2 linked regions of the Tribolium castaneum genome follow. The protein of the gene in region 1 interacts with the protein of each later gene in a pairwise test. Links are inferred from orthologs where the notes say so. Each region holds a gene or a part of one and is shown on either strand. Other genes may lie near its edges.

Region 1 (16,432 bases):
TTGTCCGCTCCGACAATGGCAAACAATTTGATTGTCACGAATACAGAACTTTCAGCAGAAAATATGGATTTAAGTTAATTACCAGTAGTCCCCATTACCAACAGTCAAATGGACAAGCCGAAAGTGCTGTGAAGCTGCTCAAAACGATATTGAGGAAAAATGAAGATCCATATCTTGCACTTCTTACCTACCGCAATACACCTACTAAATGTGGATTGTCACCTGCCCAACTGCTCTTTGGCAGAAACCTTCGAGACAGACTGCCAAGGTTACCTTCAGGGTTAAAACCTGCAACTATCGACCATGACACTGTCAGACAAACGTTAATCAACAATCAAGCAGAACAGAAGTCCAACTACGACAAACGACACCGAGTAACAAAAGAAGAGAAAAATCTAAAAGAAGGTGATCGCGTATGGATCATAAATATGCAAAAGGAGGGAGAAGTACAACGCAGATGTGAAGAACCAAGGTCATATTTGATCGAGACTGACGGCGGTTGCGTCAGACGAAATCGAAGACATCTTCAGCCCTTACCAGACAGAAATAATGAACCCGAACATGACCCAGAACAACCAGACGAATCAGAGGAACCAAAGAAAAGACCAATCAGAAGACCCAAAAGATACCAAGATTATTATTGTTATTGAAATATGTATATTTTGATACCTCAGGTAGTTAGTTTCATATTTAGCTTAGTTTTGTATTTAAAAGGGGGGATGTTAGGTTGGCAACTCTCACGTGGGCGACACGGGAGTTGGAGGGGGGTTTTTTGGCAGAGTGAGTTAGTTAGGTTATGTCGCAGAAGGGGCCTGGACGCACCCTCAATGCTCCGGGATATTAGTCAATAAACAGTTATAAGGTTGAATGGTCTATTTACAACTAACCTAACAAATCCCTCAAATAATACAGGGTGTTTCAGTTTGGTATTCGCACACAGGTAACTTTGTTTTGCACAAAAGTTTTAACTTCTAACATAGCTAGAGCTTTAAAATTTTGTTTACATCCAAGACGATTTTTTTGAGCTCAACTAAATTATTTTCAAAATGAATAGAAGAGAATATTCTTTGTGTTAATAAAACTACCAGAGTATTTTACACACGTCACAAAATTAACTTAAATCTGGATAAGAATTACATGTTGATGTATAAGAGAAACAACAAGGGTCCAATTAAAACAACAGTCCCATTATTAATGCATACTTTTTGATACCTATTTTGAAGATAAAAATTGATTAGTGTTAAATTTTGTGAAATTGTAATATCTTAATTTGTTTATTAATATTTTATGTGACTGTGACTGTAGCTGGTCAAATTTTTTTTTTTTATAATACCAACTTATAATTATTATGGTTAATAAGATTTAAAACTGCTTGTGTAGTTGACATATGTTTCCTGAACCACCAGAATTGACTACAGCATTGTCAACTGTCAAATTTCAAGGTTACTATGATTTTTTTAAAAAGATGACTAAAAAATGATTACAAAACAGATTTTTCAATAGAATGACCCTGTTTTTCAATGCCAATCAAAAGAACATCAATTTTTATGCAGACTCTTATGAACATCTTCTATATCTATCTCTTACAGTTTTTGAAATAATTGCAAAAACTGAATTTTAGCTCATTATTTTCATTTTATTCAAGTAAACTATTAAAAAAAGATGGTAAATATGTGCAATTAATTAAAAGAATTGTTCGATTTCTTCACCATTTTCATTAAAGAAGTTCAAAATTCGATGGCAGACTGACTCAGTTACGTTACATAATTCACTAAGTTATAATAAACCATAATTAAATATTATTGTTTTACTGTTTACGATAATCAACGAGCTAAGAACTAAATAAAATATTGAAGTATGACAATTGTTGACCATTTTGCAAGGTCTACTTGATTAACTATATAAATTTCGAAGTAAAATTCGTTTTTTGTGATTTTTTTTAAAAACTATAAGAGAGGTGTAGGACGTGTTGATAAAAATCACCATAAATATTGATGTTCTTTCGACTGCTGTTAAGGAAATAAGGTCGTTCCATTAAAAAAACTGAGTTATGACAATTTTTTAGTAACGATTTTGAAAAAAATCATACTAGCCATGAATTTTGACAGATGACAATTTTAAAAATTCTGGACGACTCTTCAAAACTTCGGTTATCGAATGCAAATAAAATATTCACTTATTGTAAGGGGTTTAAGAGCTGTGATATCTTACAAATGAAAATTTTAATAAAAAAATTGACATGTATCATAAACTATGACAGATAAATACCAACTACTTGAATAAATTTTACTCAGCTTGAGAAGGTTAATTCAAATATGCGATAAAAATGTGTGGTTACTGTTTAAAATTTCAAAGTTGGCGCCAAGTAGTTGTAGTTCCGGAAGCTCTAGTTTTAAAAACAATTTAATTGATTGAACTCAGAATGGTCAATTTGTATCGATACAAAATTTCAAAGCTCTAGCTATTTTAGAAGTTAAAAAGTTTCTAATGCAGACCCTAAAAGATTTTTTTATTGTCATAGAAAAAAAGATCATTCTATTTGAAAAAGCTGGTATTTGATCATGATTTTCAAAAAAATCATAGTAGCCTTGTAATTTGACAGTTGACAAAGCCTGAAAATTTTAGATCGTTCAAACCGTTGGTTATCAAATGCAAAAAAACTATTCACTTTTTTAAAGAGTTCAAGAGCTGTGATATTTTGAATGAACCTCTACAAATGAAAATTTGGTCAAAGTTGGTGCCAATTTTTCATAGTTTTGAAATTTTGTAAATAATTTAGTTGAACTCGATGGTCGATTTAGAATTATATACAAAATTTCAAAGCTCTAGCTGCGTTAGAAGTCAAAAAGTTTCTAATGTAGGCCCTAAAAAATCACCCTGTATATTATGTTTATGTTGTACTTGTTTTAATAAAAAAAAGGTACAAGGGTGCGAATACGAAACTAAAATACCCGGTATGTTGTAATTTGTAAATTTGTTTGAATAAATTTAAAACATTTTGTGTACCCTTTCGGGTAAAGTGCTATTTTATCTACTCAAAAGAGTTGATAAAGAAATAGTTTAACATTTGCTCTAAAAAAACTTACCTCATTTTTGTTTTTTTGTTCATTTATTTGCTCCAAACGTAGCTCTTTCAACTGTTCTAACTTGATTACTTCTTCTTGCTGCCTTTTAGTTTCCGCATCATCAATATCAAGAACTTTTACTACAAAAACAATAAAATAAAAACAAAACTAATCTGTAATAATAATAAACTAACCAAGTTCTTGACTAACTGCTTGATCTGCAATTTCCTGATCGTCATTATTGTTGTACAACTGGTATCGTTCAAGAACATAATTAGTAACACACTAAAATTATTGATAATTATTACAATTTTTTTTTATTATGTTATAAAAACAACCTCAACTTTTTGATATTTGGGATCTTGTTCTAGAGCTGAATTTACATTTGTCTGTGTTATGTAAGTAACAAGATCAACAAGCCACCCAAGAATACCCATCACTTGTGGCCAAGCATGCATTGTATTAACTGAAAAAAATTATTAAAATAGAAATAACTAAGCTTAAATTAACTATTACCAGTTTTTAGCAATGAAAGCGAAATGTTCCCTGGAAATTGATAAATTTTGAGTGTGTTCAAGACAATATCTTTGTAGTTAGTTGTGTTGACTTCAAAGCGCGGATCGATTTCTTTGAATAGGAGGTTGAAAACGGCCACAAATGAATTAATGGTTGGTGGTTTAATGGTGTTGGGAAGGTGTTCAGGGCAATTGGGGTGTTCTCTGAGAAATCGCAAGACCTAAAACATCCAACATTCTCATCCAATCGCCAAATTTGGGCAACTCACTTTGGCATATTGGTCCGAAACCCACTTTTTGTCATTTATTGCTGAACCGATCTTGTAGGGGGATTTGCTGCGCGAGCGAGGTGTTGTGAGGTTCTATCAATAATTTTGTTAAAAAACTTAAAAGTACGGAGTATTACAAGGTATTAGGAGATGAAACGGGTACAAAATCGCCAAATCGTTTTAAATCCAATCAATTTAATAATTACTTGGAAAAAAGGCAGAAATGTTGAGCTTTGCACTTTTTACAGACAGACTGAGAAAAACTAACATTTTCGTAAAAAACATGAGAAAAAAGTTAATTAATAAAATTTGAAATTGCGCTTCGTTCCGTATTTTTCAAGACGCTGCGAATACGGTTAAAGATACAGGGTGACCTAGGGGTGTGTAATCGGTAACTTTTTTGTTATTTAAAATATTGCTATGCCGTTTTTATTATACGATAAATCGACCTAAAGTACACAAACTACAAATATTTTTATTATACCAGGTGGGGCAACTTTATCGCGCATCTAAGAAAATCGCGATTTCTAATTAAATAAAAAAAATTGCATTTTACACGCCTGACTGTACGTTCGAAAGGTATCTCCCCTAATGTTTTGGTAATTTTTCACTTGCAGATAAAAATAATAATTTAAAAAAAGTAATTTTCGACCAAAGAGTCAAATTCTAAATTTTATAGTAAACCACGCGTATTCACTTCAGATAATTGTTTACGAAATTAGCGAAGAAAAACACCAATGAGATTTTGAATTAAACGCACTTTTACATTTTAACTTTAAAAATTATTTTTATTTGAGTGGCTACTTGTGGTGACAATGTGAACTGTAACTGGGGTAAGATTGTAAAAGATTTTGATAGGATATTTGAATGCAGGCATCAGTTTTATTGCAAGACTGTAAATAAGGGGCTTCAAAAAGGTCGGCTACTGGTAACTGATCCCTTTGTTGGCAAATTATATCATCTTCTAATAAATAACGCGTCTAGTTTGCGTCTAAATAAAAAAGACCGATTATTTCACCAACCAAGTAAAAATTTATAATTCTGATACCAGCGTTCGATGGGCTAGCAGGTAAGGATTCATTTGGTCTAAAAACTTTGTAGTCAAATTAACAGTTAATGCCCAAAAACTCACAAAACTGCTACGACTTCATTTATTAACAAAAAAATTTAATAAAAATCGAGAATGGTCCTTATCAATGTACAGGCTGGTGAGTAAAATTTCAGGATTTTTATTTCATCAAAAGTCGCCATTATCTTGGGTGCGCGATAAGGTTGCCACACCCAGTATACAGGGTGTTGTATATAGGCTGGTGTACCAAAGTTATATTTTTTTAAATATAACTTATTTTAAATTATTTTTGCATAGTTGAATTTTACGCAAAAAAATAATATAACTTTATGTGGACTATTTGGATCTATTTCTTTTCGACTCGGAATTATTCAACTTTTCGTTATGAAAAAGATTTTTAAAAAATCACTGTGAAGTGATTATTTATGCATTAGAAAAACTCAGAATATTTTGTAGTTTTAGCAAATAGTCGACTTGTACTTGAAACACGCAGATAATGTACAGGGTGTGCTAAAACGCAAAAAGTTGAATGAGTCAATTTTTTTAAAAAACACCATGTATTTTTTACACGTATCGATAGCATTTTGCATAAGCTTTCTAATGGTATAGGGTTTACATAGCAAATTTAAAACATTTTTCGAGATTAAAAAAAAGTATTTTATTACAAGAAATTTGTTATCCTAGAATCTGATTTGTCAAATGATAATTAATTTTTTGATATGTACTAATGTAATGTGACTAATTACATTAGTAATTTAATTATTACTTGATACATCAATGAATTTTACACATCAAAAATTAATAATAAAATATAAAAGAAAAAAGAAAAAAACACTTTAGGAAATATTTCTAATTTACTATACAAACCGCATATCGTTAGAAAACTTATAAAAATGCTATCGACACGTGTAAAGAAATACATAGTGTTCCATTTGAAAAATATATGAGTTATTCAACTTTTTTACGTTTTGGCACATCTGTACATTATCTGGGTGTTTCAAGTAAAAGTCGACTAATGCTGAAACTACAGAATATTCCAAGTTTTTCTGTTGCAAATTTATCGGAAAATATTCATAGGTGACTTCGCAATGATTTTTCAAAAATTGGTCTTTTTTATAACAAAAACTTAAATAATTCCGAAACGAAAAGAGATAGACCCATAACAGTTTTATTTTTTTTGCGTAGAATCTAATTATGCAAAATATATAAGGGGTTTGATTTAAAAAATATAACTTTGGTTCACGAGCCTGTATACAACACCCTGTGTGCAGTAAAAATATTTTTAGTTTGTGTACTTGTAAGTCGATCTATCGAATAATGAAACATGGCAATATTTCAAGTAACATAAAAGTTATAAACCGAAAACAACAAATATTAACGTGAAACCTATTGCTTTTGAGTTTAGTTATAAGTAACAACGTAAAATAATTTATTAAAATACACACCATCACCTCAGTAAAACTTTTTTTTTTGTTCACAAATTATGGTGGAAAATTTATTATATGTAATGTTTCGCGGAAATGCTAATAAATATGAGGTAAGGGGTGAAGTAAGAAAAAGTGACTATTAAAATATTAAAAAGTCAAGAAGTTGGCCTGATATAAAAAAAACCATTTTTAGCAGCTCCTCCAGGTTGGATATTAGGAATCTGCACTTGTGTAAATCAAATGCCCAGCGACATCAAGAAATAATACCCGAAAAGCCCAATGTTCGAAAAAAATTAAATGAATTCAAAAAACACAAAAATCTAAATTTGGACAAAACATAATCCCAAGTTTTCAACCAAACAAACAAAAGTGGCTGTTTCTTCATCAAAATTCAAAATTTTGACTTAGTGAAGACTGTATATAAAAAAAGAATTTAAAAATTACGCACTACACACTTGTATACCAATTTCAGTGTCAAATATTGATCTCTAATATTACAAAAACTTATTCTGTGATATACTACACTGAAAAAGGCGAACTTAAATAACAAGATAATGGCTTATGTGCAAAAATTATGGATTTAATAATAATAATAATACATTATTTTCTCATTTTGTCATAATGTTCAAAATTGATATGCATAATAAATAAACCTACAAAGCAGTTATTTAAAAAAATAGTTAAGGAAACTTCAAATTCAAAAAATCTCCTATCAGAAAAATAACTTTTGTCCCTCATATGTTTCAGCCACTGGTTCTTTAAAATAACCGAAAAATATTATGGTAATTACACTAATTACACAACACTAAAAATGACCACAATCCGTCCTTTGCTTTAGTTGGGACAAAAACAGGTAGCAACCAAAAGACCATCCACAGAAACGGCACGAGCAACGCCTCTATAGGCAAAAGCAATAAACTATGGGGGATTATATGACAAAATCAGTCTATTCATTGATAATTTAAAAACAACAGTGTTCTACTACATGGCGTTTGTTAAATTAGTTGAAATTTCATATTTTGTAATAAATATCAAAACCCTAAAACAAATTTTGAAGTTTACTGATAAAATAACGCGACTTTTACATCAATCGCAATATCTCAAAAATAAATTAAACCTTTTCTTAAAGGAGTTTACTTTTTCAACGCATTAGCCTGTAGAATTAAAAAACCTTTAATATGATGTACACATAATACAGACTGATCCAGAAATACTGAGTCTGTTGGCAACACTGGACTTAAATTTTTAAGGATACCAATGAAGTACGCTTCAAGTTAACAAGAATTTAACATTCTTGTGGAGTTGGACGTCAAATAATTGTCAAGAAAAATCGAATTCGGTTGCAATGTTACAAATTACGAGCACAAATACTTTCAAATGTGTTGCCAATAGACTCAGTTTTTCTGGATCAGTCTGTATTTGAAATTCTGTTGCGTATTAAGAGAGAAAACTTTTTTAACTGCGCCCTCTGGCGACATTAGCGGAACCATTAAAAACGGGAACGTTTTATTTGTATGTACATCGTTTCGTATCCTAATCTTTAGATATCCGTACTTAAAACACTTACAGAATTTGATCGTTTTAACCCAGAATTCTGAAATAAATAGGTGTTTAACGTTATGTCAATTGTATTTACTGTTTTACCAGAGTCGGAGTAATGACCGTTGATTTTTTATAAGAAACCTACAATCAGCATTAGAGTGATAAAGTTCTCGAAACAAAACAAAACCTAACTGATGGAGTAACCGAAGGTCTTCTCAAATTTGACGAACTTGTTGATCTTTTCAAGGGCGGATTTAAGGTTCGGTCCATGGAATTCGCCCTGAACCTTTTTGCATTGTCATCTTTTGCACTAACTCTTTAAAACAAATTAGAGCCAATAATTTCATTTGAATTTCTTGAAGAAGGAATTTAGGAGAAGGGTACTTTTGGTAATTTTTTACTTTTTTAATAAACCAGGACCTAAATTAGGTACTACAAGTTTACATTATTTTACCTGCTGACAGAAGACTTTGAGCGTGACCTATTGGGGACTGGAAGTTGGGAGCTGCTGTTTGACCGTCGGTACATTGTTCAAAAGACTTCTCAACTTATTAAAAACACAATTAAATCATAAAACTGACTGAAGTGTACAAACATCAAGTTCAAAAAACGTTATTACAAAATCACCAATCAAGAAAGTCCAATAGATGCAATTTATCTACTAAATGTATCTAAATTGGAACTACTTGCTGTTAATTTTTTTAATATGTACCAATAAATACGAAACGTATACAGATTTATTTAACTGGAAACAATTTTAAAAAAATAATGCAAAGCAGTGCTTGTATGAAAGACACAGCATTGTCTTTCGACGAGTAGTTCATTCAAACAGTGCAATTTGTCTCTACTCCATTGCTATTTGACACTACCTTGTTTGTCCATTTATTAGTTATTAATTTATTAGAAAAATGGCTCAAATTTCGTCCACAGAACAGCCTAATATGAAGCAAGTGGATCTGATGACGCTAAATATCCAGCAGTTATCAACGTTAAAGCAACAGTTAGACCAGGTATGTGCCCTAACCTCAAACCTTGCACATGATTCTAAAAACTGCTCTTTTTCCAGGAATTGTCGCTCTTTCAAGAATCTCTTGCGTCCCTCAAAATGGCACAGACGAAATTTCAAAACTCCGGAGAGTCTCTGGAGAAAGTTGGCCCCGATTCGGATGGAAAAGAGATTTTAGTGCCGTTAACAGGATCGGTAATTTGAGTAATATTTACGAACTTTAATGAAAGTTTTTTTTTAAGATGTACGTGCCTGGAAAGTTGCACGAGACCAACAATGTGTTGATCGATATCGGAACCAGATATTATGCAGAAAAGGTGCAGCAATGTTGATGTTGAAATTGTGTGTTAATGATTGAATTTTTTAGGATATTGATGCTGCTAAAGATTACTTTAAGCGGAAAATTCAGTTTGTGACAGAACAGATGGAGAAAATTCAAATTTTGGGGTTGGAAAAAAGCAAAATTAGAGATGCTATTGTGGAAATTGTGGAATTAAAGCTGCAACAGCAACAGAATTGAGTTTAATTTTGTACATGATTTATTTATAACTGTGTTTAAATGTTTACCTAATAATAAAAAGATAAATTAACCTCCACTTTATTTGATTTTATGTTCCTGACTTATTCGGGAATTGTCTACATTTTGTATTAATCAATTTTGGTCAAAATTTGTTGCCGGATAGGCAACCAAATATACAGCTAGTTTTGGACTATCACTGAGAATATTACACACTGATCCACAAAAACTGAGTTTGTTGGCAACAATGGCTCGTAATTTGCAAGACTGCAACCGAATTCGATTACTTTTGACAATTATTTAACATACAATACCACAAGATTGTTGAATTGTTGTTAACTGGAAGCGTACTCCAATGGTATTCTATAAAATTTAAATTCAATGTTGCCAACAGTCTCAGTATTTCTGGATTAGCCTGTATTTATAATAGATGGTTATAGGAAATGCTAATATAGATCGATAAAGAAAAATATTCTCCTCCATCTAGTAAAATAAAAATTAGGATATTAATATAAGTTATGGGTACTTGAAGTTGTACAAACTTAACTTTAAAATTTTGGGTTTTTTACACTTCTTTTCCAATTTTGAACACATTAGAAAACAGATTTTATAGGCTTTCTCTTTTAATTCTTCAAAGATAATTTCGAAATTTCTCAAACTAAAAAAGCTACCGAATTTTTTAAGTGTCAGGTGCAAATCCAATAATTTTCAAAAAAACTTAAATATTTAAGAATATAAGATGCGTTGTCTAATACAATTATTGTCGGATCTTCTAAAGACGGTAAGAGCTTTTCAAGGAGACACGTTGTCGTGGTAATCGTCTGATTTTGTCTTTGAAGAAAATATTAGGGAAGCGTTTTCCAAGTTTTCCAAGTTCCTCCTTTGGCAAAAATCTATGTCTCGTCGAGAAAGTCGTATAAATTCACTGTTTTATACTCCTCGTATTTTCTCAAAAAAATTAATCTTTTTGAAACAATTTGTGGCTTCTGACACAGAGCTCGTCGATTGCAGTCTCTTTTATAATGAAACTCTGTAAAAACAAAAATATGTTATATTATACGTATATGCTTACTCATAAGTCATATTACACCTAGGGGCCGGTTTATATCAGGCGAATTAAAATTTGATTGCAATTAAGTGTTTTGTAAATTGGCCTCACTATATTTAACTAACTACAGTCAAACTTCTTTAAGTCGAACTTCCTTTACTCGAATTTCTCTCTTACTCAAAAATTTTTGTTTCCCCTTGCATTGCCAATCTTATTTACATGTGTTTAGCTTTCTTTAACTCGAACTTCTCTAACTCGAAAATTTCTCTAACTCAAAATTATTTTAATGAACAAAGCATGCGCGAACTTCTTTAACTCGAAATTATTCGTCACAATTCGGCGCAGTGTTATGCAAGTTTTAGTTTCGCAAAAATTGGCACATTTTCTAGAAAAATGGCATCTAACTATTGAAAAAGAAATGGACAGTGGGGTGAAAAAGAAAAAAAAATATGAAATTCCGTCGAGTACATTATCTAAAATTAATGAAAACAGAGCGTCAACGGTACAGTTTGCTCAGGAAATTGGAAATTCTGCCAATATGACAACTGATATTGTTTATAATTCACTAAATAAAATCGAGCGATTTTATGAAACCAATTGTATCAAAAAAACTGTACGTCAAAATCTGATCACAAGTTATATGCATTGAGAAAGAAAATATATATGTATGTTCATACAAATCTGTAATAATGTTCATTTCTAATAAAAAAATATTTTCAGTTTCTATAACTCGAAATTTCTCTAATTCGAACAAATATTCGTTCCCCTTGACGATTCGAGTTAGAGAAGTTCGACTGTAATTAAATTTTATTAAAACAAAAAAATGCATTCGTTGTACTTAACAAGATATTTAACAAAATACATACCAATAGACAGCAAAAGCTTTCTCAAATTCGACCAACTGCCTTGGTAGATGTGTTTTTTCTCCAATACTTCTTTTAATCCCTTAACTGTCACCCAAATTTTCTTTTATAATATTTTTTATAATGTTCTCAGCAATTTTTAATGCTTCTGCAGCACGTCTTATGTAGCACTGAACAGGAATTACTGGCCCCAAGTTTTTTAACAAAAACTTAACAATACTTTTTATTAATTCACCACTATGTTTATCATACATTTTTTCGAAGTAACTGATACCTCCTATCTATTATCAGATGTAGAAACAACTGAATTTGTGAGAGTAGGATAAGGGTAAAGTGACCCTTAAACCCTTAAAACCAACTTTCTAACGTGAAAACCCTTATCTACAACCAATTACTTGTGTCTAAGAAACTAATCCTATTTTTACCTTTAGTGGAATTAATACCATTATAATGTGTTAGAAAGTTGCTGTAGCAGTAAATTAAGTAATTACAAATTAAACATAACATAATCTTTTAAGAGAGTAAGAAACAATGCTGTTTACAAATTGTTCACATTAAAAAGTTTTTAGGATTTAAAAATCACTTTCAAATTGAAATTCATAATTAACATGTATATTTGTTGATAATAGTAAACATTTTGTTTATAGGGTTGACCAGGCAAACAAATAAAAGACATATTAATTTATTTAACAACAATAAACATAACAAATACCAAAGTGGCATCCCATAGTTTGGGGACGATTGGTAGACCCTCCCATTTTTCGCTACGCTTGACGGTTTGTATTTTGTTTCACTCATTCGCATAGTAACAACAAAGACAAAACTAGTAGCAGATGGGAAAGTGTTATTTGATACATTTATACGACATCGGCCAAAATTAAACTACTTTTAGTATATCTCTAAAACGGTTAAACTTAGGTATATAGAAAGTATAGTAATAAGTAATAATATGTAATAACGTAGTGAAAAACTTAACATTCTACTTAAAACAAAAAAGTTGATAGCGACTTCCGGTATAATCGGAAGTGCCGCCATCTTGAAAATATTTTCATTGGGCAGAACTTGACAGATTATGACTGAGAACCAACTTTCAATACTTCTAATGTGGAGTTTATACGGAACAGGTTGTATAATATTGTGCCTGAAATGCCTTGAAATATGAGTTTAATGTTTATAGATAGATGAAACTATTATTTTTCTAGAATTTGTTAGTCTTTGTGTAACAAAGTACTAAAAATAAAATTATGATCCTGTATTAAATAAATCTGATAATCTTATCAATGCTCGCTATAAGTAAATATTTTTAAAAAAACATGCTTTATTTCAGTTTTCCTTATTTATACTGGATGCGGCAACCTTATCGCGCACCCAAGAAAGTCGCGACTTCTAATGAAATAAAAATCCTAAAATTTTACACACCAGCCTGAACGTCCTAAGGTGCGCGATAAGGCTGCCCACCTAGTATATAAACTTGTAATAGATAGATAATAAGATTATTAGATTACAGACAGTAAGTCTATCAGTTCTGTAGATTAGACGTGCAGTTTCTTTGTGTCTATTGTGGTGCCAATAGCATGCTTTTGGCATATGAGTTGTCATTGCATAACAGCTTAGTTATTTGCACCATAATAGTTTTTTAAATAAAAAACAGTTTAATAGTTAGTTATATTTTATCAAAACAATAGAGCAACTATAGTTATTAATTTTAAAATATAAAATTTAGTTACAAAATGTTCTCTTAAAAACGTATAGAAGGGTGCATTTCAAACCTTTTCTCCAATTTTTATTTTTGAAGTCGTTATTGTTATGAGTTAATTTGTATTTATTATACGTAAGTACCTATTTTCGATTTTTGAATCCTCTTAGAAATCTATTTACAAAAATGCTACTTTTTGACTTTATTGCACCAGCAAAATATGACGTCTTTACTGCTTTTTGAGTAATTATTACATTTTTCTTTACTTTTTCAGTGTGACTACATTCCTTTCTGGTGAGTACAAAAAACACAGTACATAAGTTTTCTTTAGAGAAAAATTTACCTATTTACTTCAAAGCATTGATGAGTACTAAATAAACTTATATTTGTTGAATTGTGTATAAATGAAGCACTCCGAACATTTTTTTGAAAAATAAATTACAAAAATATGGGTTATTACTTTAGTTCACACTGTATAATAACAATTTTACAACACATAATATTAAGATAGTAAACATCCCGTATTTTGCATGTTTTTCCTCAGTTCTCACCACAAAATTATTTTTTATCGACACAATAATATAGATAAATAGTTTTAACCATAACCGGTCTTAACATTATAAATATATTTTTTTTTGATCTGGGTGTTTGTAAGTCGTGCTTATGAAACAAAGTTCACAAAATTAAGTGGTATGTTAAAAAATGTTAAAATAACGTACTCTACATCAGATTTAAACTTATAGTTTTTGCTGGCTAATGGGTATACTATAATATAAGTAATAGTCTAAAAAATCTAATTATTAATTAGGGAGAATTTTTTTTGACAAGTTTTAGTAATTAAATTAGCTTACTTCAACACATTTTCGAAAGCCGTCTCAAAAAATTTATTGTAAGCAAATGTTTTGATCAAAAAATAAATAAGTGAATTAAAATTTCATCATTTTTTTAAAAACAATTGTGTCCAGCTATAAAACATTTGTTATTATTTTGTATGAAATTAATACCTACATAATTTAATGGTGTAAAGAAGTCAAATTAAGGTTATTGCTTTGTACCAATATATTAGCTGTTTCAAAACTACAAAAAACGCCAACGTCGCCTTTTACTGAATTATTGTTTTAAATAAGATTAATAAAGTTGTAAATTAGTTACTAGTGATTAGATCTTTTATTGAAAGTAAAAATTACATTAACTAATATTTTTTTGAAGTGCCTGAATATTTTATAACAGCTAATATTGAGAGAGTATATGACGTTGGCGTCTTTATCGTTTTGAAACAGCTAAAAGTTATTAATAATACGAGTGCAAAAACACATACTTAAAGTTCGAGGGTTGTCGTTATGCAACGACCTAGACACTTGTGTTATTCATTTTTTTTTTGTTGGAACATTTTAATTTAAAACACGTTGTTTTGGAAAGCGTGTTGTAAAATAATGAAAACATTAATTTAAAACACGTTTATAATCTAGAATTCAGATATTAAAAAGAAGACAAAATTTTACCTACAAAAAATTAATTAATTAATAATCGAGCGCGATATTATTTTGAGTCATAATGGGATCATCAATCTAGTAGAATGCAAAACTAAAGCCCGCTTTACCCAAATAAAAATAAAACAATTCTTGACAAAAACATTAACAAAAGGCCGTTTTATTATTATAATAAATTATTTGTAGGTTTCTCTACTGACCGAATGCGATGGAATACGTTAATATGATTTTACAAGTTGGACAAAAAGTAGCGTCTGAATGTCAACAACCCACAGTTCTTCAACTTGTCAACAAATCCCGCTGCGATATAATTGACGCTACCATGTCTTCAATGGATAAGTTTGACTGGTTAATGGCTGGTCCCCTTTTCGACAGAGAACATATTTCTTCTAATTCCTCACAAGAAAGAAACGCATCTTTAAATAAAATGGCCACCCATTGCCCTTTTGAAATGACATTAATTTTTAGTGATGGAACTGTGGATAAATTCAGGATGCATCAGAAATTTCCCTTTGATGGGTGTTCGGGTTTTCAACACTTTATCGGCCCACATACTATCACCTTCTCAAGTTCAGAGAATAAAGTGATTATAACAGTTGAGGATAAATAGTGTTTTGTTTATATTTTTAATAAAAAATAAGCGTTTATAACAAATCATATTATTGTGCACTATTTTTATACAGGCTGACCCAGGGGTGCGTGCATACTCCACAACTTTTTTTCTATGTAAGCTATCAATTTGAATTTTTTTAAACGATAGGGCTGACAATAAGGCACATTCTAAAAATGTTTTAGTTTTTACATAGAGTGTTTCAATAGCTATTTACACTCGAATGCGGTAAGTCACATTTTACAGCGCGACAACTTTGTTTGAGGCACGAGCCTTTCAGGCTCGTGCCTTATTAGTTGAAGCGCTGTAAAATGACTTAACGCATGAGATTTGTATAAAACTTTTTGGCCGACAAGCTTTATATTGATATTTATATTGAGGTTAACGTTGACTTACCCACGAACATACGAATTAAATTTCATAAATTTTATGACTGAACGAAGCTTAAATATCCTAGCAAGGCTCACATACCATGTTACAGACATTTTATCCAAATATTTTAATAATACGCCGAATGATAAACTTGTGTAAAATTTCGAATTGGTTTGGTTGAATCAATGACATTTGTGGTTCCCAAACGTATGTATAGGTGGCGCTGTTCCGGGGGGATTTATATTTTCACTAATTAAATATACACCATGGTCGATTGAATTAAATAATTATAGGTAACAAGTATTTCGTTATACGAACTTAATTATGGTAAGCACGGTTTGTATCTTAAACATGTCTAATCGTCCAGTGTTTTGTGGTTACTTTACCTAATTGTTTGCTACCAGTTTACAGCATCGTGTTTAAAGGTCAAGTTACCTTTTATGAATGGGCAACTGTCATTCACGTTTTACAGTACTGGAGGCCAAAAAATAAAATACCTAACTAAGTGTGGTTTTTTTAAATAAAAACTTCAATGTTTTGTTATACTTTTAAAACTTTTGTGTCATAGTCATAGACCTACAAAAAATTCAGAATAATTCAAGATAACTTAACCAACTTTTTTCAATTTGAACTCGGAATCGATATTCCATCGCCTACTACGATTTTCTTAAAATGTCAAATTACAAATGGCTACAACTCTATGCTATTACAATTTACAATTGCTTAAAAGATATTCGTTTCGTAATGATATGAGAATGTTTTATTTTACGACAACGGCCTACTTGATTTTTTTCCGAAAACACCATCAATATTTCTTATTTTGCAGAAATCTTGCAAATTTTACAAATTAGACCCCAAAAACTCTATATCGACAACAAGCCCACAAAGTTTTATTCAATGATGCAACAAAATATATAGGGTGTCTCAGCTAAGTCTTTCGAGC
Region 2 (16,457 bases), on another chromosome or scaffold:
CTCAAAATTTAATGCAAATAAACATTTTTTTTTTTTGGTTTCATTTTTATTATTATTATTTTTTTTAATGCTACAAACGGTAGCCAACGTGGAAGCGATATGAAGGTAGGTGTATTTATTTACTGAAGTTTTGAATTTGAATTGCCATATATTAAAACGTATTGTGTATTTTTTATTTTGTTTAATATTGACAAACGTTGCTTGTTGTAACTTTCATGCAAATAAAGATTTTTTTATTGGTGTTGTTTTTATTTTTTAATGTCTTGCTACAAACAGTAGCCAACGCAGAAGCCATATGAAGGTAGGTGCATTTTTTTGCGTTTTATCTTGTGATGTGTTGAATTTAATAGCTTGTGTGCCATATATTATACCGTATTGTGTATCCTTTATTCTGTATAATATTTATTAATGTCGCTTGTTGTAACTTTTCTACAAATTATTTTTTTTTGTTGGTTGTGTTTTTAATTTATTTTTTAGGTTTTGCTATAAATGGTAGCAGATGCAGTATAAAGGTAAGTGCATTTATTTAACGCCAAGTGAAAAAACTTTGATTTTTGTGTACTATTTTTTCATTTCACAAACCAATAATTCTTTTATTCCCTTCATTTTCAAATAATCATTGTTTACCTCATCCTTATGTCCTTTTTTCCTGGCAAGAATGCTCTAAACCTCCACGTGGTTCTTGCCGGACAAATTAGTTATTGACTAATTTGACCAATTAGAGCAATCCTTAAATATAACATTGTTGATTGTTTTTTTCAGTCGTAAAATTATGTCGCTTGTTGTAATTTTTATGCAAATAAAGATTTTTTTATTGGTGTTGTTTTAATTTTTTTTAATGCTACAAACGGTAGCCAACGTGGAAGCGATATACAGGTACGTCCATTTTATTATTGTGTCGGATTTATTTATTTCACAAACCAATAATTTCATGAAATTTAATTGCAATTACAATGTTGTGTTGGTGTTGAAAAGTCATAGTTTGAGTGACTCATTTTAAATTCAGTAACTATAAACAAAATCAAACACTCAAACAATATATTGCCACGTAATAATTTTGTCTTTAATTTCAAACACTCAAACAATATATTGCCACGTAATAATTTTGTCTTTAATTTCAATGAATGAAAGTGGCTTGCTCAAAATTTAAAGCAAATAAACATTTTTTTTTGGGTTTCATTTTTATTATTATTATTTTTTTTAATGCTACAAACGGTAGCCAACGTGGAAGCGATATACAGGTACGTCCATTTTATTATTGTGTCGTATTTATTTATTTCACAAACCAATAATTTCATGAAATTTAATTGCAATTACAATGTTGTGTACACCGGCTCTAAATACGGTGTTGAAAAGTCATAGTTTGAGTGACTCATTTTAAATTCAGTAACTATAAACAAAATCAAACACTCAAACAATATATTGCCACGTAATAATTTTGTCTTTAATTTCAATCACTCAAACAATATATTGCCACGTAATAATTTTGTCTTTAATTTCAATGAATGAAAGTGGCTTGCTCAAAATTTAAAGCAAATAAACATTTTTTTTTGGGTTTCATTTTTATTATTATTATTTTTTTTAATGCTACAAACGGTAGCCAACGTGGAAGCGATATACAGGTACGTCCATTTTATTATTGTGTCGTATTTATTTATTTCACAAACCAATAATTTCATGAAATTTAATTGCAATTACAATGTTGTGTACACCGGCTCTAAATACGGTGTTGAAAAGTCATAGTTTGAGTGACTCATTTTAAATTCAGTAACTATAAACAAAATCAAACACTCAAACAATTTATTGCCACGTAATAATTTCGTCTTTAATTTCAATGAATGAAAGTGGCTTGCTCAAAATTTAATGCAAATAAACATTTTTTTTTTGGTTTCATTTTTATTATTATTATTTTTTTAATGCTACAAACGGTAGCCAACGTGGAAGCGATATGAAGGTAGGTGTATTTATTTACTGAAGTTTTGAATTTGAATTGCCATATATTAAAACGTATTGTGTATTTTTTATTTTGTTTAATATTGACAAACGTTGCTTGTTGTAACTTTCATGCAAATAAAGATTTTTTTATTGGTGTTGTTTTTATTTTTTAATGTCTTGCTACAAACAGTAGCCAACGCAGAAGCCATATGAAGGTAGGTGCATTTTTTTGCGTTTTATCTTGTGATGTGTTGAATTTAATAGCTTGTGTGCCATATATTATACCGTATTGTGTATCCTTTATTCTGTATAATATTTATTAATGTCGCTTGTTGTAACTTTTCTACAAATTATTTTTTTTTGTTGGTTGTGTTTTTAATTTATTTTTTAGGTTTTGCTATAAATGGTAGCAGATGCAGTATAAAGGTAAGTGCATTTATTTAACGCCAAGTGAAAAAACTTTGATTTTTGTGTACTATTTTTTCATTTCACAAACCAATAATTCTTTTATTCCCTTCATTTTCAAATAATCATTGTTTACCTCATCCTTATATCCTTTTTTCCTGGCAAGAATGCTCTAAACCTCCACGTGGTTCTTGCCGGACAAATTAGTTATTGACTAATTTGACCAATTAGAGCAATCCTTAAATATAACATTGTTGATTGTTTTTTTCAGTCGTAAAATTATGTCGCTTGTTGTAATTTTTATGCAAATAAAGATTTTTTTATTGGTGTTGTTTTAATTTTTTTTTAATGCTACAAACGGTAGCCAACGTGGAAGCGATATACAGGTACGTCCATTTTATTATTGTGTCGTATTTATTTATTTCACAAACCAATAATTTCATGAAATTTAATTGCAATTACAATGTTGTGTACACCGGCTCTAAATACGGTGTTGAAAAGTCATAGTTTGAGTGACTCATTTTAAATTCAGTAACTATAAACAAAATCAAACACTCAAAGAATATATTGCCACGTAATAATTTTGTCTTTAATTTCAATGAATGAAAGTGGCTTGCTCAAAATTTAAAGCAAATAAACATTTTTTTTGGGTTTCATTTTTATTATTATTATTTTTTTTAATGCTACAAACGGTAGCCAACGTGGAAGCGATATACAGGTACGTCCATTTTATTATTGTGTCGTATTTATTTATTTCACAAACCAATAATTTCATGAAATTTAATTGCAATTACAATGTTGTGTACACCGGCTCTAAATACGGTGTTGAAAAGTCATAGTTTGAGTGACTCATTTTAAATTCAGAACTATAAACAAAATAAACACTCAAACAATATATTGCCACGTAATAATTTTGTCTTTAATTTCAATGAATGAAAGTGGCTTGCTCAAAATTTAAAGCAAATAAACATTTTTTTTTGGGTTTCATTTTTATTATTATTTTTTTTTTAATGCTACAAACGGTAGCCAACGTGGAAGCGATATACAGGTACGTCCATTTTATTATTGTGTCGTATTTATTTATTTCACAAACCAATAATTTCATGAAATTTAATTGCAATTACAATGTTGTGTACACCGGCTCTAAATACGGTGTTGAAAAGTCATAGTTTGAGTGACTCATTTTAAATTCAGTAACTATAAACAAAATCAAACACTCAAACAATATATTGCCACGTAATAATTTTGTCTTTAATTTCAATGAATGAAAGTGGCTTGCTCAAAATTTAAAGCAAATAAACATTTTTTTTTGGGTTTCATTTTTATTATTATTTTTTTTTTAATGCTACAAACGGTAGCCAACGTGGAAGCGATATACAGGTACGTCCATTTTATTATTGTGTCGTATTTATTTATTTCACAAACCAATAATTTCATGAAATTTAATTGCAATTACAATGTTGTGTACACCGGCTCTAAATACGGTGTTGAAAAGTCATAGTTTGAGTGACTCATTTTAAATTCAGTAACTATAAACAAAATCAAACACTCAAACAATATATTGCCACGTAATAATTTTGTCTTTAATTTCAATGAATGAAAGTGGCTTGCTCAAAATTTAAAGCAAATAAACATTTTTTTTGGGTTTCATTTTTATTATTATTATTTTTTTTATGCTACAAACGGTAGCCAACGTGGAAGCGATATACAGGTACGTCCATTTTATTATTGTGTCGTATTTATTTATTTCACAAACCAATAATTTCATGAAATTTAATTGCAATTACAATGTTGTGTACACCGGCTCTAAATACGGTGTTGAAAAGTCATAGTTTGAGTGACTCATTTTAAATTCAGTAACTATAAACAAAATCAAACACTCAAACAATATATTGCCACGTAATAATTTTGTCTTTAATTTCAATGAATGAAAGTGGCTTGCTCAAAATTTAAAGCAAATAAACATTTTTTTTTGGGTTTCATTTTTATTATTATTTTTTTTTTTAATGCTACAAACGGTAGCCAACGTGGAAGCGATATACAGGTACGTCCATTTTATTATTGTGTCGTATTTATTTATTTCACAAACCAATAATTTCATGAAATTTAATTGCAATTACAATGTTGTGTACACCGGCTCTAAATACGGTGTTGAAAAGTCATAGTTTGAGTGACTCATTTTAAATTCAGTAACTATAAACAAAATCAAACACTCAAACAATATATTGCCACGTAATAATTTCGTCTTTAATTTCAATGAATGAAAGTGGCTTGCTCAAAATTTAATGCAAATAAACATTTTTTTTTTGGTTTCATTTTTATTATTATTATTTTTTTTAATGCTACAAACGGTAGCCAACGTGGAAGCGATATGAAGGTAGGTGTATTTATTTACTGAAGTTTTGAATTTGAATTGCCATATATTAAAACGTATTGTGTATTTTTTATTTTGTTTAATATTGACAAACGTTGCTTGTTGTAACTTTCATGCAAATAAAGATTTTTTTATTGGTGTTGTTTTTATTTTTTAATGTCTTGCTACAAACAGTAGCCAACGCAGAAGCCATATGAAGGTAGGTGCATTTTTTTGCGTTTTATCTTGTGATGTGTTGAATTTAATAGCTTGTGTGCCATATATTATACCGTATTGTGTATCCTTTATTCTGTATAATATTTATTAATGTCGCTTGTTGTAACTTTTCTACAAATTATTTTTTTTTGTTGGTTGTGTTTTTAATTTATTTTTTAGGTTTTGCTATAAATGGTAGCAGATGCAGTATAAAGGTAAGTGCATTTATTTAACGCCAAGTGAAAAAACTTTGATTTTTGTGTACTATTTTTTCATTTCACAAACCAATAATTCTTTTATTCCCTTCATTTTCAAATAATCATTGTTTACCTCATCCTTATATCCTTTTTTCCTGGCAAGAATGCTCTAAACCTCCACGTGGTTCTTGCCGGACAAATTAGTTATTGACTAATTTGACCAATTAGAGCAATCCTTAAATATAACATTGTTGATTGTTTTTTTCAGCCGTAAAATTATGTCGCTTGTTGTAATTTTTATGCAAATAAAGATTTTTTTATTGGTGTTGTTTTAATTTTTTTTTAATGCTACAAACGGTAGCCAACGTGGAAGCGATATACAGGTACGTCCATTTTATTATTGTGTCGTATTTATTTATTTCACAAACCAATAATTTCATGAAATTTAATTGCAATTACAATGTTGTGTACACCGGCTCTAAATACGGTGTTGAAAAGTCATAGTTTGAGTGACTCATTTTAAATTCAGTAACTATAAACAAAATCAAACACTCAAACAATATATTGCCACGTAATAATTTTGTCTTTAATTTCAATGAATGAAAGTGGCTTGCTCAAAATTTAAAGCAAATAAACATTTTTTTTTGGGTTTCATTTTTATTATTATTATTTTTTTTAATGCTACAAACGGTAGTCAACGTGGAAGCGATATGAAGGTAGGTGTATTTATTTACTGAAGTTTTGAATTTGAATTGCCACATATTAAAACGTATTGTGTATTTTTTATTTTGTTTAATATTGACAAACGTTGCTTGTTGTAACTTTCATGCAAATAAAGATTTTTTTATTGGTGTTGTTTTTATTTTTTAATGTCTTGCTACAAACAGTAGCCAACGCAGAAGCCATATGAAGGTAGGTGCATTTTTTTGCGTTTTATCTTGTGATGTGTTGATTTAATAGCTTGTGTGCCATATATTATACCGTATTGTGTATCCTTTATTCTGTATAATATTTATTAAAGTCGCTTGTTGTAACTTTCCTACAAATTAATTTTTTTGTTGGTTGTGTTTTTAATTTATTTTTTAGGTTTTGCTACAAATGGTAGCAGATGCAGTTCAAAAGGTAAGAGCATTTATTTAACGCCAAGTGAAAAAGCTTTGATTTTTGTGTACTATTTTTTCATTTCACAAACCAATAATTCCTTTATTCCCTTCATTTTCAAATAATCATTGTTTACCTCATCCTTATATCCTTTTTTCCTGGCAAGAATGCTCTAAACCTCCACGTGGTTCTTGCCGGACAAATTAGTTATTGACTAATTTGACCAATTAGAGCAATCCTTAAATATAACATTGTTGATTGTTTTTTACAGCCGTAAAATTATGTCGCTTGTAATTTTCATGCAAATAAAGATTTTTTATTGGTGTTGTTTTTAATTTTTTTAATGCTACAAACGGTAGCCAACGTGGAAGCGATATGAAGGTAGGTCTATTTTATTGCTGTGTCGTATTTATTTATTTCACAAACCAATAATTTCATAAAACTTAATTGCAGTTAAAATCTTTAAATGCGGTGTTGAAAAGTGAAATTTTGAGTGACACATTTTAAATACAGTAACTATAAATAAAATAATCAAGGAAGCTGTGTCAGTGAGGGCTCTATTTGGCTATATCAGTTCGGGATGCCTGAATATAACCCCAGAAAAATGATAGGTTTAAAAAAAACACTATTACAAATTAGTACATTTATTCAAAACACGGTCACAGATCGGTGTACATACACAAAGAGATATAAAAGGCTACATTTAATGTCATTTTTAGAATACTGATCCTTTGAGATAAGCTAGAGCTACGGAAAAAATTGCACTGACATATCTTACAAATTTTAGGCACAAACAGTCCAAACATGCCGAATCTTTGGACTCAAACCTCTTAAATGTATCTACATCAGTTGACGCTATACTTAAGTACCTGCCTTACAATTACTTGTGCTATAATTTACACTTTGTGCATTCATAAAACGAGTAAAAAATAAATTACGAGTATTTTGAGCTGAAATAAACATTATTGCAAAAAATATCACATAAAACTGATAAAAATTTCGTTTTGGTCTTACACAACCACGGAAATTATTTACACCCTATTAGTTACACGAAGTCTTGTAATAACGTTAATTATTTAAGGAGGAATAGAATAACCGCTTGACCACGAATTATACAATACTACAAACCGATATGTGCTTAAATAAGTCGATCGTAAACTATAGGTCATACCGAGGTCTCCGAATTCAGCCTCAAAACAAACTTATTACTCTTCGGATCAACAACCTCTTCCGTAATATTAAAATGCGGGATCTTTTTAATCGTGCAAAGCAGCGAGACATCGTTTTGCCTCAACTGAAAGCTCGTATTGTCTCCAATCGGGCGCGTTAGCAACTCCTCGCAAATCAGCGCCCACGTCTGCACATCCTTCACTTCCTTATCATTTTGCAAAACGGGCTCGCTCACTAGATACTGCTCGAGGAACGCTTTCGGGGTCAGATCATTACTGAGACAATTGGCTAAATGAGTCAAAATCGACTCGACGGAGTGCCTCGGCTGTTGCCTCGTCACTCTTAAATACTTCTGGAGGGCTCGTGCCATCGACGGGAAAATGGCCTGGGCGGCCTCGTGCGGGTCCATCGGGATGGCAGGCACTTGGTCGTTATGTAAGCGTTTGATATGAGTGAAGGCTTCTTCAGCGGCTGTGATCAGTCGAGCCCTGCGTTTTTTCACACGTCTCTCGTACTCGTGCTCTTCGTAGAAGCGCTCGTTGTGACTCGAGTCACGTCGGCGTGCATGCGCCGCCAACATCGCCCGTGACTGCGACTGTTGCAAGGAGGAATTATTAACACCATCCACTTCGTAAAATTTGAAACTTGAGGAGTTTTTGCGCGATTTTGACACCGGGATGCGCTCCAAGTACGGGTTATAAATGGGGAACTCAGTGTAGTACTTTTCAAGGACCCAAACAGCCGCTCGCTGGATGCTTAACTGGCCTATGGCATAGGCGCGGCTAGCGCCATCGGGGCTCCGCACAACCTTGATGTAATACATCGGTTGTTGGTGCCTGATCTCCATCAAAACTACAGCCAAGTAATGGATAAAAAGTAGCGTATCAGTCAGACTTAAGGCGTAAGCCACCAAGGCCTCATAATCCACCGTTTCCTCCGGTGTGGTGGCGGCACGCGCAGTCTCGGTCACTTGAACTATATAAAACAGCCAATAGGCGAAAATACAGACTAAAACAAAGGCTAGGACAGCCGCCCGAAACAGGAAAAACCTTGGCAAGGTCGCATTCGGCTTGCGCAAGAACACAGCCCAGGCCCCGACCGCCAAAATGGCCATTTTGAACGCCAACGACACCAACTGGCCTTTACATTCGGCCCCGCAAGCTAACAATTTCGCGCTGTCTGCGAGTCCCAGCCGCGAGGACAGCGCAGGGAAGAACCCCAGTTTTGGCAATACGACCATGGCTAAGGGGCTCAAGAAGGCAACTATTGAAAGGATGTACGTTAGCACCGTCCCCATGTATCTTTGGCAGACGAAGGAGAGCCCGGTGTCAGGTTCACCGGGCCAGTTACTGACGTCTTCGGTCGACTGGGACTGCTCGGACGTGTTCCCGGTGATGGCAGTGGTGTTCTCGCCCCAGTTGTCGTCCTGGGGCAGGATTTGCACCTCGATGACCTCCTGGCCGTCGCGGTTGTCGGGGGTGAGGGTCACGGCCGTCTGGAAGGGCGCCATCTCGTCGTTTTTGCGAGACTTGGAGCTTCTGTAAAAAAATTACTTTCAAGATGGTCCAGAATTGTTTGGGCACGAACCTGGTGCTTCTGTGGGAGTGCTGTCGGTAGTTGTTGCGGTCGCGGTGCCCCCGTGAACGTCTCGATCGTGAACTGTTTTCCGATTTTATGGATTCAGTCTCCATATCTCGTCCAGTTTCGTTGCCCATGTATTTTCCCAAAAGCCGGATTTTTTTTGCAAGAAACTGTCATGAGTGGTTCTTTATCAACACTTTTGCGGGAATTCTCGTCAAAAATCCTGATTATTTCACTAATAAGTTCAATGACTCCTCACGTTGATGACATTTCGTAAACATGTATTTGTGCATAAAAAATCCAAACAATTTCCGTTATTTGGAGCCTTAGGCCACTTCCGGGGTTCGTTTCGCTCAGGAGGAATGCATTTTCTTGGGATTTGTTTCGTAAGAGTTGCGTAAATCGTTTACAAATTGCATTTAAATTAGTGCGGCGGCTTGTGTGCGTTTTTCTAATAAAACTGGATCATTTTTCTCAAACGGCACTTGGAACACGCACCGTTTTTTCCCCACACACGTAACCAATTCCCTCCGACACTCCACACATGCTTTTTTATTCAAATTTATTCAAAATTTACTGAAAACTAAATCGGAGTTTATAAAATGTAAACGCCTACGTTTAGGAGCAATTTAATTGCCCCATAAATTATGGCTGCAACATGGCTACCGTGTAAACCAAAAATGACTAAAAACACTAAATAGAGCAATTCCTTCCAATGAATTTCAGTCAAAGAAACCGAGACGAGGAAAAAAATAGACGTAGTCTAGACCCGGGAAGATAAATTTCAATTGAAAAAAAATCCACATTGTCTGGTTATCGCAAAATTGGCAAAAACGCGCTTGGTTTTTTCTTTCCGCCAGGTTTACATCATGTGGCTGCGTCACGTGACCATGACAAAGTGACATTTCTCAAATTCCGGATTTATGTTTACCAAAAATGGCAAGTGATTCGAAAAAGAAATCGTCCAAAGGGCTCACGCCCGAGGAGATCCTGAACGGCTTTCAAGCGCTAAGGGCCGAGCAGCGCACCCTTTCATCAAAACTGACGGAATTCGAAGCCGATTCCAACGAACACAAGTAAGTTTCCGGCCCGGTTGTGGCCCCAAACGTGGGGCTGTGGCGGCGAAACCCACGGCAAATTACTCAAAATTGAGTAAATTTTCATTTTTGAAATGAAATTTTTTTCGTGGTTGCCGGTTTTTTTGTAAAATGTTACATAACCTCGCTTTTACAGAATGGTCATCGCCACTTTACAAAACGTGAACGAAGACCGGCGTTGCTTCCGACTAGTCGGGGGGGTTTTAACTGAGCGAAAAGTGAAGGACGTTCTTCCGGCACTTGTTGCGAATTTGGAGAAACTCAAAGAACTTATTGAAAAGTTGAAAGAACAAATCACGAAGAAAGGTGTGGAGATTAATGAATACAGGGAAAAGTATAACATTAGCTTTAGAGGGTTGGATAATCCGGCCCCGAAACAGGAGGAGCAAGTGGCGGCTTCAGAGAGTAGAGGAAATGTTTTAGTGTCTTAAATATGCATGTGCTTTTTTTATTTACACCTAAGCTAGGATTTTTCTTTTGTAGAATATTTATTTTATGTATTTCATTCGAATTTGGTCGGCATTTAACAAATTCATCTTTTTCTATGAGAGCTGTGCTGGTTTTTTGCAAGGTAATGTAACATATTTCATCCGAATAAAAATTTAATTTGTAAGTGGTTTTTTATTAATTTACCCCCATTACCCAATGACGAATTACGTAAGCACCAATAAATTATAATCTCAATTGCATATTCAACAAAAAAAAACAATTAAATTTCTTTCGTTTTTTGTGGCTGTATTATTGGTTGCCTAACCATGACTTTAAATTATTTCTCTAAAAAATTCAAATGAAAGCCTTAATAAGTTTTAATAAATTAAAGCACTTAATATTCACCACATTAAAAAAAACTGGTTTAATTATATAATTAAATTACAATATAAGTATTATCTAAGATAAAAAAAAGATAGATAGTAAATAATAAACCAATCATTTATTAAATCCTATTTGCTCTAGATATCAGTAGTCAGTATGTGAAGTGACTCAGTTTAGAAAAAACATCATGATAAGTTAACTGATAAAAGATTTTCCTCTTGTTCTAGTGAGACAATGTTTAAGTTTAGTTTCCTTCTTGTTTTTTCTTTATTATTTTACCACAACGAGGCCTTAAACCAGCTATGTTCCGTAAGAAAAGCAGAGAAAAACTGTATCTGTAAACGCATCACCGACAGCGAAGATTTAATTGCCACAGAAGCCGACTGCGTAAGAACAAATTTCGACTATTTCCCGACCTCAGAGCAGCTACCTAAAGACCTCAACCTGCTCGACTTATCACACAACTCACTCACAAAACTGGACGCAACCGAAACGCGATTTTCAAGTGTGACCTTAGAAACGTTGAAATTATCTTACAACGCGATTAGTTTCATCAGTTATGGCTTTTTCGCCGAAATTCCCAACCTGAGAATCCTAGTTTTGAGTCACAACAACATCGAAAGTCTCGACAGTGACGAAATTTTCCAAAAAAACCCAAAAATAACTCATTTGGATTTGAGTTTCAACTTCATCCATGTGATACAAGCCGCGACTTTCTCGCCCCTTGTAGAATTACAAGTTTTGGATTTGAGTTACAATAACCATTCTCTCGGAGAGTCGTTGAGCCAAGTCCGGACTTTAACCGACTCCGGGCTCGGCATAAACCCCAACATTGTGCGTCTTAGTCTCGACAATATTGGGCTTAAGGACGTCCAAAATGGTTTTTTCAGCAACCATACGTATTTAACGCACTTATCTTTGGCCGATAACCGATTTACTCAAGTCCCGCGAGTTCCATACAGTGTGGAGTATTTGGACTTGTCTGGGACGGACATTTCGGTGCTCCAAGCCAAAGAATTGAGTTACCACACGCTCAGAGTTCTAAGACTCGAACGAATGAAGATGCTTGAGACTATCCACCACTATGCCTTCTATAATTTGGAAGCACTGGAGGAGTTATCGGTGAAACATTGTCGCAATTTGCGGGAGTTTAACGAACTGGTCTTTGGCGCTTTGCAAAAAAATGAAGAAACGAATTTGCGGAAATTGTCTTTGGCTGGGAATGGTTTACAAAGTTTGAATTGGACGTATAAGTACCTCTTCCGAAGTTTGGATTTTATTGATTTGACAGACAATCCGTGGAAATGCGACTGTGACATACTGTGGTTGCAAGAATTTGAGAATTTATACAAAAGTGAAAACGTGAAGTGAGTCACTTAAAACTTGTGTTTTTTTTTCGTAAAAATCACTTCCAGGTGTTCCTCCCCTTTATCTCTCCGCTCCAAGCAACTTTTCGACGTGACCGACGAAAACGTCCCAACTTGCTACCCCCAAAAGTACGGCAAAAAGTCGCACCGAGTCCTCATCGCCTTTTTAATACTCCTCGTCTTAATTCTGGCGGCTTTGGTCGGCTATTTGTTTTATTACTCCCCGAGCTGGTGGAGTGGTAACAGGTCGCGGGGAATCGGCCCCCAGTCACCCTACAGTGCGTCCAGAATCGGCGAAGAATTGACTTAACTTTGTTAAAAATAAAATAAAATTATTTCACGTTTTGCTGATATGTAATTCCGGCGGTGTATCAAGTCCCGGTCAATCGTTTTGAATGTAAATGGGACAAAGCGATTACCATCCACCCTTCCCTATTGAGTTTTTCTGCATCACCGACTTCTGTCTATGCACACAAAATCTAACAGAGCGAAAAATAATTGATAACTATTTTATATCGATTCATTATTTTGGATTTATTTCAGGCAGCGGGGCTCTAATGCGCTCCACGAATTCAAATAATTGGTGTTGCGCGAGGGCTGACGTAACAAATCCAAAAAATCAACCCTGTTTTAGGTCAAATATTTTGGAATTAGCATAATATTATTAAAAAAAAAAGGCCAAGAAAGGAAAATTTGGACAAATTATGAGGTAAAAAAAAGATTTTGATTATGATAATTTATGGTTTGTTTTCACATAACTTCATGTTGGTATTAAATTGAGTCATGCATTGTCGAGTTTATTGTTTTTTTTTGTTGGTAACATTTTTTAAGCCTTCTTCTGGAATCTGAATCCTAGATTAGAAACACTATTTTAAATACGTTTCCCATGGCAACGTGTTTTAAATTAATGTTTTCAATATTTTGGAACACGCTTCTCGCATACGCTCGTTGCATAACGACAGTCCTCGCACTTTAAACTTGTGTTTTCACACTCTTATTATTAATTACTATAAAAAGTGAAAATCTCTTAGAGAAATGCATTAGTTTTTTGAATGATATACTCGTAGAGTTTGAGTTTACTTTTATTTATTTTATTATTAATTTTTAAAATTTTTCTGAAGGAATTTTTTTAAGTAAATTGATTTTTTTTAATATCAAGTTTCTCACAATTTTTTAGTTTTTTGAGCATTTTTTTTTCTTTGAGGGTGTGATTTTTCGGTCCATCAAATAAAAAAACTTGGAAAAAAATGACAAAAAAGATATGTAAATAAGGGTTTGAAACGATAAAAATATAGCTATGATGGCACTAGAAAATTGTGTATTCAACTACAAGAAAAGACAAAAATGTGCACTGTATTATGAGCAAAAAATTCAAATTACCTACAATAAGTCCAGAATAAAGACTGTGACAAAATTTATTAAAACTAAATAGTTTGGTATGTTATTGAAATTTAAAGAAAATCTACAGGTTTTATTTTCATAGCCCAAGTAAAGCTTATGTACAAACATTGTTATTCATAAGATTTATTTTTTTAGAAATAATTAGTTTGAAAAAAAAACACAAAGTTTGATCAAATGGGAACGTATTTGGCTTGTTGTGCAATTGAATCGATTTTTACTTAATACATTTTTAAACATGTGCAGTGAGCTTTCCGGCTTAACCGTGGCGTGAATTAAATGCTTTTTAGATCATCCCCCTCCGCATTTAACACATCACTTTAAGCTCATAATACCGTATGCAACTAAACAAGAATCACCCCTGATTTTTTCAGTTTGTATGCAGTAATAGGATTGCACCATGTATGTTTTGTTACAATTACCAATTTACCAGATGTAAATAGGATATATTATGTTTTCGGGGATGACATGATGTAATCCTTGAATGAATCAATAAAACGCAAGCGGAAAATAGAACAAAATCGGGCATTCTTTGACGAAAAAAGCTCCACAAATAGCTCAGACATCTTGTTCATGCTCATCTGAAACCTGAAGAACCCTTTATGTGTCCATATTTGATAAATACGCATTGAAAATCGGGACAAAGCCGTGCGGTTATGAAAACAGATCAGAGATAAACCCGGTGTACAGTTTCCGAAATGTAATATTTTGGCAAATTGTGGTTATTAAAACACGTTCACAGGAGAGAGATAACATCGGACATTATCACCAGGCTTTTGTTTTTTTTTCTTCAACACGGTTCAAATAATAGAGCGAGACCGTAACAATAAATACTTCCTTTGGCAGGAACGAGCTTTCTAATGTCGATTACGCCGATGGACCCAGAGATAGGCAAAAGCGTCGCTCATTTTGTACATCAATTAAAACACACTCGGTGTGACAATAGATGTCGAAACGACGACGTGTGATAATACGCGATAATAAAGACACTTAACAATCGTATCGACCATCTCTATGGTACACGGACTCACTAATGTCATCTGCCAATGGGTTTTGGGTTTCCTACCGGTGCACGAGGGGAGCACCAGAGATAACCCACGTTTCGGTAAATGACGACCGATTACCATCTAGCGTTTTATTGTGCAGAGGTGCGAGGGAAGATCGCCAAGATTAACGAGCAATAAGTTGATCGAAAACACTTTTTTATTAATTTGTCAGTGGCTTACAAAAAAAAAATAATAACTAATACTCGAAAAAGATTTTCTATTACTACTGTATTAGTGAGATAGGTCTCAGAATTAAATTCTCTACGACTTAATAAAAGAAAATCTTTGGCATTTTATTTAAAAAAATTGAGTTTTGGGTGCTTAAAGTTCTGAAAACTTAACTTTAAACATTTGGAGTTAGTTATTTTTTTTTAGCAATTTGAAAACACCAAAGAAAAGATCTAGACTTTCTCTTTGAAATGAGCTAAAGATATTTCCATTTTTTTTTTAAATGGCGAAGTTATCGATTTTTGAACTGGGAGAAGCTAATTCAAAAAAAATTAAAAACTCTAAATATTTGGTAAACGATTAAATTTAGGTATAGGAAAAGCTTATAAAAACTACCTTAGAATAACTCTAGTAATCCAAAAAAGCATTAAAAAATATACCTTTCCATTTAAAATAAGGAAGGTGATAGCGACTTCCGGTATAACCGGAAGTGTCACCATTTTGAAAATATTTTCATTAAGCAGGACCTAAGAGATTATGGTCGTATACAAATTTTCAGATGATTGTCATTATTATTAGAACTACCATTACTTCTAATGGGAGGTTTAGACGGCTTGGTAAAATCTACATAAGAAAATCTAAGAGTTGCATACCACATTTTTTTTACAACTACAAATAGAGTCATAGCAAACAGATCATTTTTCCGAGTGTATTAATTTTGTCAGTGGCTTTTTCCAACTGTTGTGTTATTAAATATATCCATGCCCATGGTGAATGGAGCACATGGAGCCCCGGTGTCAATCATCTCCGTAAATCCGCTTTCTCTATTGTGGTTTGTCGGATTAGTCCGGCACTCCCTCCTCAAATCGAAGCTAAAATATGTAGCGTGTACGGACCTTATGCACCGTTGTTTGCATGTTTGTGTTGCAAAGCTCCTTAGTGATGCGATTAAAAAGGTACAGAACGGAAACACGTCCCTAATCCTCTTGGATTTCCCCCCGATTTTGGAAAAAATCACTCTTGGTCGATTTTGAAGACGAGTAGCGTGTTGTAACCGAATTCGCCAACCCTATACCGAATAAAAGCCGAACGAGCGAGCAACAGGGTATAAAATCGATATTATTCGCATCAAAGATCAAATTTAGCCTGTAATCGGCCACCTTATTAGCAGGCGGCTCATTTTCCATGGCTTTCTCTAATTTCAAGCGCGCCTGTCTGAGCGCATCGGCCCCCGCGTACGATACTCCTTTGTTACCGAATTATCGCAGGTAACTTGATAGCCAGATTGCAACATTTGGGTTACAAACAAAGTGCAGTCAGAGATGCGTTCGTAATTTTTCTGGCAATTTTGTTTACTGTTTTATTAATATCCAAATCGGGGGATCCGATTTCCAAACCAGAAAAAAGGGACCGCACGGATCGCGGATGCCACGGAACCACCGGACGAGATATAGACACTTACGTAACAAAAAAAATACGCGAAACAGGTGGGCAGTCTGCCAGGTACACCGATTTTTGAAAACAGAAACCAGAGCAAAAAGTGCCCAGGACGGGCTAAGCGGTGGCTGCTCCAAAAATGTTAAATAAGCTAAATTGAACAAATATTAAAA

Evidence for each region.
Region 2: the proteins of Pfdn5 (region 1) and Pfdn2 interact in binary tests that used the Homo sapiens proteins (3 or more experiments, as listed by UniProt). The link is inferred for Tribolium castaneum from reciprocal best matches to the Homo sapiens genes PFDN5 and PFDN2.

The regions. Positions count from the first base shown.
Region 1 is NC_087400.1:9,614,521-9,630,952, forward strand, and holds Pfdn5 (prefoldin subunit 5), read left to right. Parts: upstream 1-8,716; 5' UTR 8,717-8,795; coding exon 8,796-8,897; intron 8,898-8,953; coding exon 8,954-9,088; intron 9,089-9,135; coding exon 9,136-9,210; intron 9,211-9,260; coding exon 9,261-9,413; 3' UTR 9,414-9,489; downstream 9,490-16,432. Other genes in the region: uncharacterized protein LOC103314387, read right to left, coding at 3,087-3,205, 3,260-3,350, 3,404-3,531, 3,582-3,801, 3,850-3,942, 7,913-7,939, 7,990-8,028, 8,080-8,203 and 1 more. UniProt on the Homo sapiens protein: Binds specifically to cytosolic chaperonin (c-CPN) and transfers target proteins to it. Binds to nascent polypeptide chain and promotes folding in an environment in which there are many competing pathways for nonnative proteins.
Region 2 is NC_087397.1:2,590,737-2,607,193, forward strand, and holds Pfdn2 (prefoldin subunit 2), read left to right. Parts: upstream 1-9,817; 5' UTR 9,818-9,894; coding exon 9,895-10,034; intron 10,035-10,191; coding exon 10,192-10,486; 3' UTR 10,487-10,668; downstream 10,669-16,457. Other genes in the region: Vang (van-gogh), read right to left, coding at 7,373-8,915, 8,965-9,068; chondroadherin, read left to right, coding at 11,103-12,235, 12,284-12,545. UniProt on the Homo sapiens protein: Binds specifically to cytosolic chaperonin (c-CPN) and transfers target proteins to it. Binds to nascent polypeptide chain and promotes folding in an environment in which there are many competing pathways for nonnative proteins.